Oryctolagus cuniculus: one gene and its partner. The protein of the gene in region 2 binds, or shares a complex with, the protein of the main gene of each other region. Links are inferred from orthologs where the notes say so. Each region holds a gene or a part of one and is shown on either strand. Other genes may lie near its edges. The genes, in order: LDLRAP1 and AP2B1.

Region 1 (4,585 bases), on a different chromosome or scaffold from region 2:
AACCAGGACAGAATCCGGCGCCCCGACCGGGACTAGAACCCGGTGTGCCGGCGCCGCAAGGCGGAGGATTAGCCTAGTGAGCCGCGGCGCCAGCCTCCCATGTCCTCTTTAAAGATTTACTTATTTATTTGAATGGCAGAGTGACAGAGAGAGAGAGAGAGAGAGAGAGAGAGAGAGAGAGATCAATCTTCCATCTGCTGGTTCACTCCACAGAAGGCCACAACAGCAGGGGCTGGTCCAGGTCGAAGCCAAGAACTCAGTGGGTCTCCCATGTGCACGGCAGGGGCTTGGGCCTCACCCACTCCTTTCCCAGGTGCACAGCAGGGAGCTGGATTGGGAGCAGAGCGGCCGGGACTTGAACGAGGTGCTCCGAAGCGGGATGCTGGCATCACAAGCAGCGAAGTGACCTCCTGCACCACAGTGGCGGCCCCTGAACCCCATTTTTCACCCCTTCTCTTTGAGTTCTCTGACAGGTTGGCACATCCCCCAAAGGGGTCTGAGGGTCAGAGTGACCCCGGAACCTTTGGAAAGAAAGGTACTAAGGGACCAAGGTGAGCCACCCTTCTGGGCACTGGGAAGAAAGGAGAATCCTTGGATAGGGAGTGAGGTGAAACATTTACGGTTCCCCGAGAGATGGGAAAAAGCCCTTGTGGGAGAGGGAGCCAGGAGGCCTCGGGCCCAGGGTGGAAGCCTGGGGCGCTGGCTTTGCTGTGTGACCTCAGGCGAGCTGCAGCCACCTCTGGGCTTCTTCCTCCACCAGGAGGAATTAAACAATATTCGCGCTAATCCTAGGTGAGAACCTTGAGGGTGAGGAGCAGGTCACAGGTGGCGGCAGGAGTCAAGTCTACCCCAAACTCAAACCCGAGGCCATAGCCAAGACCTGGCTGGTTCACAGCCCGGAGCAAGGCTGCGCCCGCACCCCAGCACAGGTGCCCCCTCGGCTTCCCTCTGGCAGTCGTGGCCACCGCTGTCTTCAGGGGCTGCCTTCTGCTGCTGCCAGGGCGACAGTCCCCCGGGGCACCGCTGAGACCCCTGCCTCAGCTCCGCCTCTGGGAAGCTCACTTTACTGGGCCTCGTTCCGCTGTCTCTGAATCCCCTGCTCGGGTCCCTCCACAGGAGCATGTGAAATCACGCAAACAAAAACACTGGTCAGACAGCGACAGAGGCCGTGGTCACCGGTCACCGTGGTGACCACTGGCTGAGCTCTTCCTCCATGCGCCAAAGGCCATCTCACTCAACCTGGCACGGTGGGCAGGAAGCAGGCACCACCTCCCTTCCAGTCTGCAGGTGAGGGAAACGAGACGTAAGAAGGGCAGCTGGGACTCTGGCCCTGGGCTCACAGGGGCCTGGGGGAGGGAGACCCACTCTGCTCGTCTTTTCCCTGGAGGTGCAGCCCGGCTGTGGCCTGCCCCAGCACAGCTCCCACCATGTGAGGGTCCACACCGCCCCAGGAGGGAGTGGGAGAGTCCACACAGCAGCCAGGAGAGCTGGGATTATCCGGGCTCTGCTTCCCAGCCCCGCCAGCCCGGGAGCTGTGTCCACTTTGCAGATGAGGAAGGCAGGGGTCAGAGAGGGCAGGGACTTGCTCAAGGGTTGGACAGGCAACAGAAACCCTCCCAGCACCCCATGGCTGCCTCTTCCCCTTCCCCAGAGTGAAGGCACTCCTGGGCCTCCCTCCCGGGGGCTGTGGCACCCACCATCTCCCCTACACCCCTGGACGTCCCGGCGGGGTTCTGCCACCCTGCAACAGCCGGGCATTCCCAGCAGTCCTGGTCAAATCCCACGCATTTTTTTTAAAAGGGCTATTTTGGGAGTAAGTGTGGGAGATGGCACATCCCTGGCCTGCGGCCCCAGCGGGTCGGTGACCCCACCCTCCGCAGCAGGCACCAGCCGCTCCCAAGGCCAGTCTGGGCTAGGAGGCCGGCGCAGCTGCCACCGCAGAGGGGGCAAGAGGCGGGCAGGGCGGGCTCCCAGGCCCAGACACGCTGGCGCGCCCGGGACCAGCGAGGGCGGAGCCCCCGGAGGCCCCGCGGGAATGGAGGGCAGGGCGCACACAGCCCCGGAGCTGCTTCCAGGTGGGGTGAGGGCGGCGGCCCCAGGTGGGCGGCACCGCCAGGAGTGCGGGGCTCGGCTGCACCCCAGCCACAAGGGCCCGTGCGACTGACCCCGCGAAGGAGAAGCGGCCTGGGCTCGGTTTCCCGGGCCGCCGCGGAAGGCGCCAGGTGATGAGTTTCCCGAGCGGAACCTGAGACGGGGCCAGGTGAGGCTCCTCCCAGCCGCGCGGGGAGAAGGGGCGCCCGGGGACCTGGGAGGAGGGGAGGTGCGAGGGCAGGCCGCCGCGGGTCTCGCCACCGGGACCCTCCCGCTGCCAACAGGTGGGTACCTGCCACCTCCTCAGGCTCACACCTGGGCGGCCGGGAGGCGGGGCCGGCGGCGTTCGAGGGGGCGACACCTTCCCCAGCCCGGGCACCGCCGCCGAGCTCCCGCCGCCACCTGGCTGCCCCGAGCGGCGAGGTGGGGAGGTGCGCGCGCGGGGTGGGGGGGTCGCACAGCTCTGTCCTCCGGACTTGCAAGACCACCCCTCGCTGCACCTAGGGACCCCGCCCTCGGCCCCCTCCCCAATCCTGCCCCCACCCCGGCTGCACAGGTAGGGAGCGGCGTGACCCGGGCGACCCCCGAGCCCTGCACGCCGGGCAAGGGCCGCTCCGGGCCGCGAGCGCGGGTCAGGCCCCGCCTCTGCCCCGACTTGGCCGAACTCCGGGCTCCCGCGGGAGGCCAGCGCCTCGGCCCGGCCCGGCCCGGCCCGGCCAGCGCGCACACACTCACTGCGATGCCGGCCGCCGCCCCCCCAGCTCTGCTTGGCCAGGCTGGGGCTCCGGATCAGTGCCCGCCCCGCGGACTTGAGCGCGTCCATGGCCCGTTCCGGCCACCGCCGCCGCCGCCGCCGCCGCCGCCGCCGCCAAAACTCCGCCAGGAAAACTTTGCGCCCGGCCAGGCGGCGGCGGGCTGCGCGCTCCTCCCCGCCCCTCCCCTCCCCTCCCGCGCCGGCTCGCGGCTACGTCCGGGGGCGGGGCGAAGGCCGCAGGGCACGCCCCGGACACGCCCCCGCGCCCGCCCGCCCCGCGCGCCCCGCCCCGCCCCGCCCCTGCTCATGGTCCCGAGGACGGTGCTCCCCCAGGCTGCCCGACAAAGGCGCCGGCTCTTTCCGGGCTCCCCGCCGCCGTCCCCACCCAGTAGGGACCTGGGAATCCGAGAGACCTTGTCAAACCCTCCCCCTCCCCGCCACACACGCACCTCTGGTTCCTAGAGAGCCAGGCCATTGTAGAGATGGGAAGATTGAGGGTCACAGCAGTGGAGGGGGTAGGAGGGGCCGCAGGAGTGCAGGCCGAACCTTGCAGGACACTGGGCAGCAGTAGAAATAAAAGCCTGCCCTTGGTGAGACCAGCTCTGCACTTGAGCTGACCGCCCAGCGCCACGGCTCCCTGGCCCCTCCTGGTAGCCTCGGGGACCGGGCAGCCTCTGGCGCTGCCCACTGAGGTGTTTGGGAGGAGACCGTGGCCCTTGACCCTGAGTTGCTGATGCTTCCCCCCGCCTGGGTCTTGTTCTTTAAGTATTTGAAATTTAAATATTTATTTTAAGGGAAGAGAGACTAAGAGGCAGAGATCTTCTATCCGATGGTTCACTCCTGAAGTGGCCACAGCTGCCAGGACTGGGCCAGGTCAAAGCCAGGCCAAAACCCGGAACTTCATCTGGTTCTCCCACGTGGGACCCTTCAGAAAATGCCCACCCGGGTCCAGCTGTGATGTGGCCGGAGCTGTGGTATAGGGAGTAAAGCCTCCGCCTGGTGCCGACATCCCGTGTGGGCAACTGGCTCGAGTCCCAGCTGCTCCACCTCTGATCTAGCTCCCTGCTATGGCCTGGGAAAAGCAGTGGAAGATGGGCCAAGTGCTTGAGCCCCTGCACCCTCGTGGGAGACCTGGAAGAAGCTCCAGGCTCCTGGCTTTGGATCGGCCCAGCTCCGGCTGTTGCAGCCATTTGGGGAGTGAACCAGCAGACAGAAGAGTGATCTTTCTTTCTCTATCTTTCTCTCTAACTCTGCCTTTCAAATAAATAATTAAAAACCAGAATCCAGCTGTGATCTCTCTGGGACCCTAATGCCCTTCTAGGAGGCTCCTCCCGCACAGTCTGGGCTCTGGGGTTCTTCACGCACCTGCAGAGTCTAGGCCTTCCCATCATGCTGAGCCCGAGGGAAGCAAAGAGCCAGCCCACGTGTGCGTCCTTCCAAAAGTTCACGGAAAATGGGATTAGCAGCGAAGTTTATTTTGATGCCAAACATTGAGAAATCCCCGCAGAGAGGAGTCTGCGGTAAGTTTGCAGGGGGTGCGTGTTAAGACAGAAACTATGCATGGGTTCCGAAATGTTTTTGCACCAACATAAACTTGCCTTTTAGTTCCATTTTTCCATGAAGCTGATGTACCCAAGCCAGAGCCTGGTTTATTCCAGGTGGCAGAGCCTCAGCAGGGCCAGCTTCTGCCCGTGTGACGAGGCTGGACATAGAGGCCTGCGGGCCTGCCTCTGCAGGGAG
Region 2 (3,801 bases):
CAGATTCTTCAATTGCTTGCTTTCATCATCTAACCTAGGACACTAACATCCCATATCAGAGTGCCCTGGGTTTGAGCTTCAGCTCTACTCCAGATTCCAGCTTCCTGCTGCCGCACACCCTGCAAAGTGTCAGGTGACAGTTCAGCTGAGTCCCTGACATCCATGTGGGAGACCTAGACTGCATTCCCAGCAAACTGATTTGGCCTATTTTTAATTAATTAACTAATTAACTTCATTTGAAAGGCACAGCTACAGACAGAGAGATCTTCTATCTGCTGTTTCACTCTCTAAATACCTGCAACAGCCAAGACTGGGCCAAGTCAAAGCCAGGAGCCAGAAGCTTTATCCAGGTCTCTCACATGGGTGTCAGGGACATAAGTACTTGAGCCATCACTTGCTGCCTCCCGGGGTGCACAATGGCAGAATGCTGGAATTGGTAGTGGAGGCAGGACTCAATTCCAGGCACTCTGATATGGGATGTTGCTTCCCATGGGGCAGCTTAACAGCTATGCCTCGATAGCCACCCCTAGGTATTCTCGTTAACGGCAACTTCACCATCAAAGATTCTGGTTGGGGTCTATGCATTTGGTGCAGCCATTAAGCTGGTATTTGGGATGTCTAAATTCCATATTGGAGTGTGCAGGTTCAACTGCCAGTTCTACTCCCAATTCCAGCTTCCTGCTAATGTGCATCTGGTAGGCAGTGAATGACGGCTCAAGTAATTGAGTCCCTGCCACCCATGTGGGAGACCTGGATTGAGATCCAGGCTTCTGGGCTGGTCCAACCCTAGCTGTTCTGGGCATTTGTGAGTGAACTAGCGGATGGGGGATCTCTCTCTGCCTTTCAAATAAATTTTTAAAAAACTAAAAAATAATATAAAAATACAGTACAAACAAAATGTTTTTAAATTTTTATTTGATAGGTAGAGTTAGAGACAGTGAGAGAGACAGAGAGAAAGGTCCTCCTTCCATTGGTTCACTCCCCTAATGGCCACCACGGCCGGTGCTGCGCCAGGAGCCAGGTGCCAGGTGCTTCCTCCCGGTCTCCCATGCAGGTGCAGGGACCCAAGCACCTGGGCCATCCTCCACTGCCCTCCTGGGCCACAGCAGAGAGCTGGACTGGAAGAGGAGCAACCAGGACTAGTACCCGGTGCCCCAACCGGGACGAGAACCCGGGGTGCCGGCGCCACAGGCAGATGATTAGTCAAGTGAGCCATGGCGCCGGTCACAAAATGCTTTTTTTTAAAAACAAAGAATCTGGTTATGTTAACCATAAAATATATTAATTTATCATGTATATTCAGGCAGGTTTTCATTTCTTTTAAAGTAATAAAGCAGAGTGAAAATTCAAACTTTAGTTAAAAAGAGTACTTCTCGGCCGGCGCCGCGGCTCACTAGGCTAATCCTCCACCTTGCGGCGCCGGCACACTGGGTTCTAGTCCCGGTTGGGGCACCAGATTCTGTCCCGGTTGCCCCTTTTCCAGGCCAGCTCTCTGCTGTGGCCAGGGAGTGCAGTGGAGGATGGCCCAAGTGCTTGGGCCCTGTACCCCATGGGAGACCAGGATAAGTACCTGGCTCTTGCCATCGGTTCAGCGTGGTACGCCGGCCGCAGCGCGCCGGCCGCAGCGGCCATTGGAGGGTGAACCAACGGCAAAGGAAGACCTTTCTCTCTGTTTCTCTCTCTCTCACTGTCCACTTTGCCTGTCAAAAAAAAAAAAAAAAAAAGAGAGTACTTCTTACCAGCCAATTACAAAGCACTTTACTTAAACATTTCCTAACTGATTTTAGAAAAGGAGATAGCAGCACTTGGACGTACTTGTTAGGGTATTTGCGGAAGATGTCCCTGATGACAACAATCGCCTCTTGGACCACATAATTTACTTTGGTCTGGATTAGATCAAGCAACGTGCTGACACAGCGCTCTGCTGATTGCTGGAAGAGGAACATAAAAAATGAGAAGTCAGATAATCTATCTAGTGATACTATTTCAACATGAAGAAAAAAATAAGTTTGAAACATACACTTGTATCAACTAAAGAAAACAATCATGACCTTAATTTGATGCTGGGTTATCTTATGTAAATCAACAGCAGTTCTAAATACCTCAAATCTTGCTCATTACAAAATATATTGAGAGATTAGTCGATTCAAATCTCTTGGGGAAAAAAAATCTCTTGGACAGCCAGGAGAACAGAAATGATAACAAAGAATAAGCCAAGATGAGGCAAGAATAAAAATTCAAAATTAAACCAAGCAGAACATCTTTAACTGGAGTTCATGGATGAATGGAGACAGCAGAGAGTGTCTTTACATTTCTTGAAACAAATTTGCCAGATTGTGTATAAGCATATAAGCATATTCTTTAAGGAGAAGACCCACCTCTCTCATTCTGTTTTTCATAGCTACCCATAATCTAAATCTCTTTATAAGTTCTTTCAAATTAATTAATTAAATATAAAAAGACTCTAAGAACTACTAAACAATTTACCATTTTTTGAGTTACGTAAGTTATACATGGAATTTAATCTTTTATCAATTAAGAAAATATGGAAGAAAGTAAGTAACAAAAAATGTATTGACATGGTAAGTTTCAATTTTCCAAAGCAAGATGATTCTAGGGACCAGCATTGTGGCACAAGGGGTTAATCCACTGCCTCCAGGGCCAGTATCCCATATGGGTGCTGCTTCAAGTCCTGGCTGCTCCACTTCCAATCCAGCTCCCTGTTAATGTGCTTGAGAAAGCAGCAGAGGACGGCCCAAGATTTTGGGCCCTGCACCTACATGGGAAACCAGGATGGAGTTCCCAGCTCCTGGCTTTGGCCTGGCCCAGCCCCAGACATTGTGGCCATTTGGAAAGTGAACCAGCAGGTTATCTTTCTCTCTCTGTAACTCTGCCTTTCAAACAAATATTTAAAAGAGATAGAGAAAGATATGATTCTAGAAGAATAAGCTTGAAAATCAAGAACTGATCTGTCATATATTAAAATGTACTATTATGGATCACTTCATTATATATCTCCTGATAAGATGCCATAGGAAATACACAGCATCATCCAAGAGGTATTCTAACCAAAAGAACAAAGGAACACACAAGGAATATATAAGAATTATTATTAGTTTTGTATATGGTAATGGTATCATGATAATGGCTTTTTTTTTTTTTAAGATTTATTTGTTTATTCATTTGAGAGGTAGAGCTACAGACAGAGGGAGAGACAGAGATCTTCTATCCGCTAGTTCACTCCCCAAAGAGCTGCAACAGCTAGAGCTGAGCTGATCCGAAGCCAGGAGCTTCTAGTGGGTCTCCCACATGGGTGCACTTTGGCCATCTTCTACTGCTTTCCCAAGCCATCAGCAGGGAGCTGGATCAGAAGTGGAGCAGCTGGGACATGAACTGGCACCCATATGGGATGCCAGCAACGCAGGTGGCGGCTTTACCAGCTACACCACAGAGCTGGCCCTGACAATGGCTTTTTAAAAGGACCTTACAGGAGTCGGCATAGTGGTACAATGCGTTAAGCTGCTATCCGAAGTGCCAGCATCCTATATGAGCACCAATTCAAGTCTCCACTGTCTATGTGTCCTGGAAAGCAGTGGAGGATGGACCAAATCCTTGGGCCCCTGAACAGAGACTGACTAGGAAGAAGCTCCTGGCTCCTGGTTTCAAATCAGCCCAGCTCCAGCTGCTGTGGCCATCTGGGGAGTGAACAAGTGGATGGAAGATCTTTCTACCTCTTTGTAACTCTGCCTTTGAAATAAACAAATAATATTTTTTTAAATGTCAAAGGACCTTATGTATACA

The links.
Region 1: the proteins of AP2B1 (region 2) and LDLRAP1 are in contact, whole or in part, in a crystal structure (PDB 2G30), measured with the Homo sapiens proteins. The link is inferred for Oryctolagus cuniculus from reciprocal best matches to the Homo sapiens genes AP2B1 and LDLRAP1. Residues at the interface, in NP_001273.1 of Homo sapiens: Arg834, Gln835, Phe837, Leu838, Trp841, Glu849, Gln851, Ile876, Ala877, Arg879, Val881, Glu882, Gln884, Met886, Tyr888, Glu902, Arg904, Ser915; in NP_056442.2 of Homo sapiens: Asp253, Leu255, Asp256, Ala258, Phe259, Ser260, Leu262, Ala263, Gln264, Arg266, Thr267.

The regions. Positions count from the first base shown.
Region 1 is NC_091438.1:145,821,201-145,825,785, forward strand, and holds the start of LDLRAP1 (low density lipoprotein receptor adapter protein 1), read right to left. Parts: upstream 3,013-4,585; 5' UTR 2,915-3,012; coding exon 2,827-2,914; intron 1-2,826. UniProt on the Homo sapiens protein: Adapter protein (clathrin-associated sorting protein (CLASP)) required for efficient endocytosis of the LDL receptor (LDLR) in polarized cells such as hepatocytes and lymphocytes, but not in non-polarized cells (fibroblasts).
Region 2 is NC_091448.1:38,978,573-38,982,373, forward strand, and holds part of AP2B1 (AP-2 complex subunit beta), read right to left. Parts: intron 1,932-3,801; coding exon 1,816-1,931; intron 1-1,815. UniProt on the Homo sapiens protein: Component of the adaptor protein complex 2 (AP-2). Adaptor protein complexes function in protein transport via transport vesicles in different membrane traffic pathways.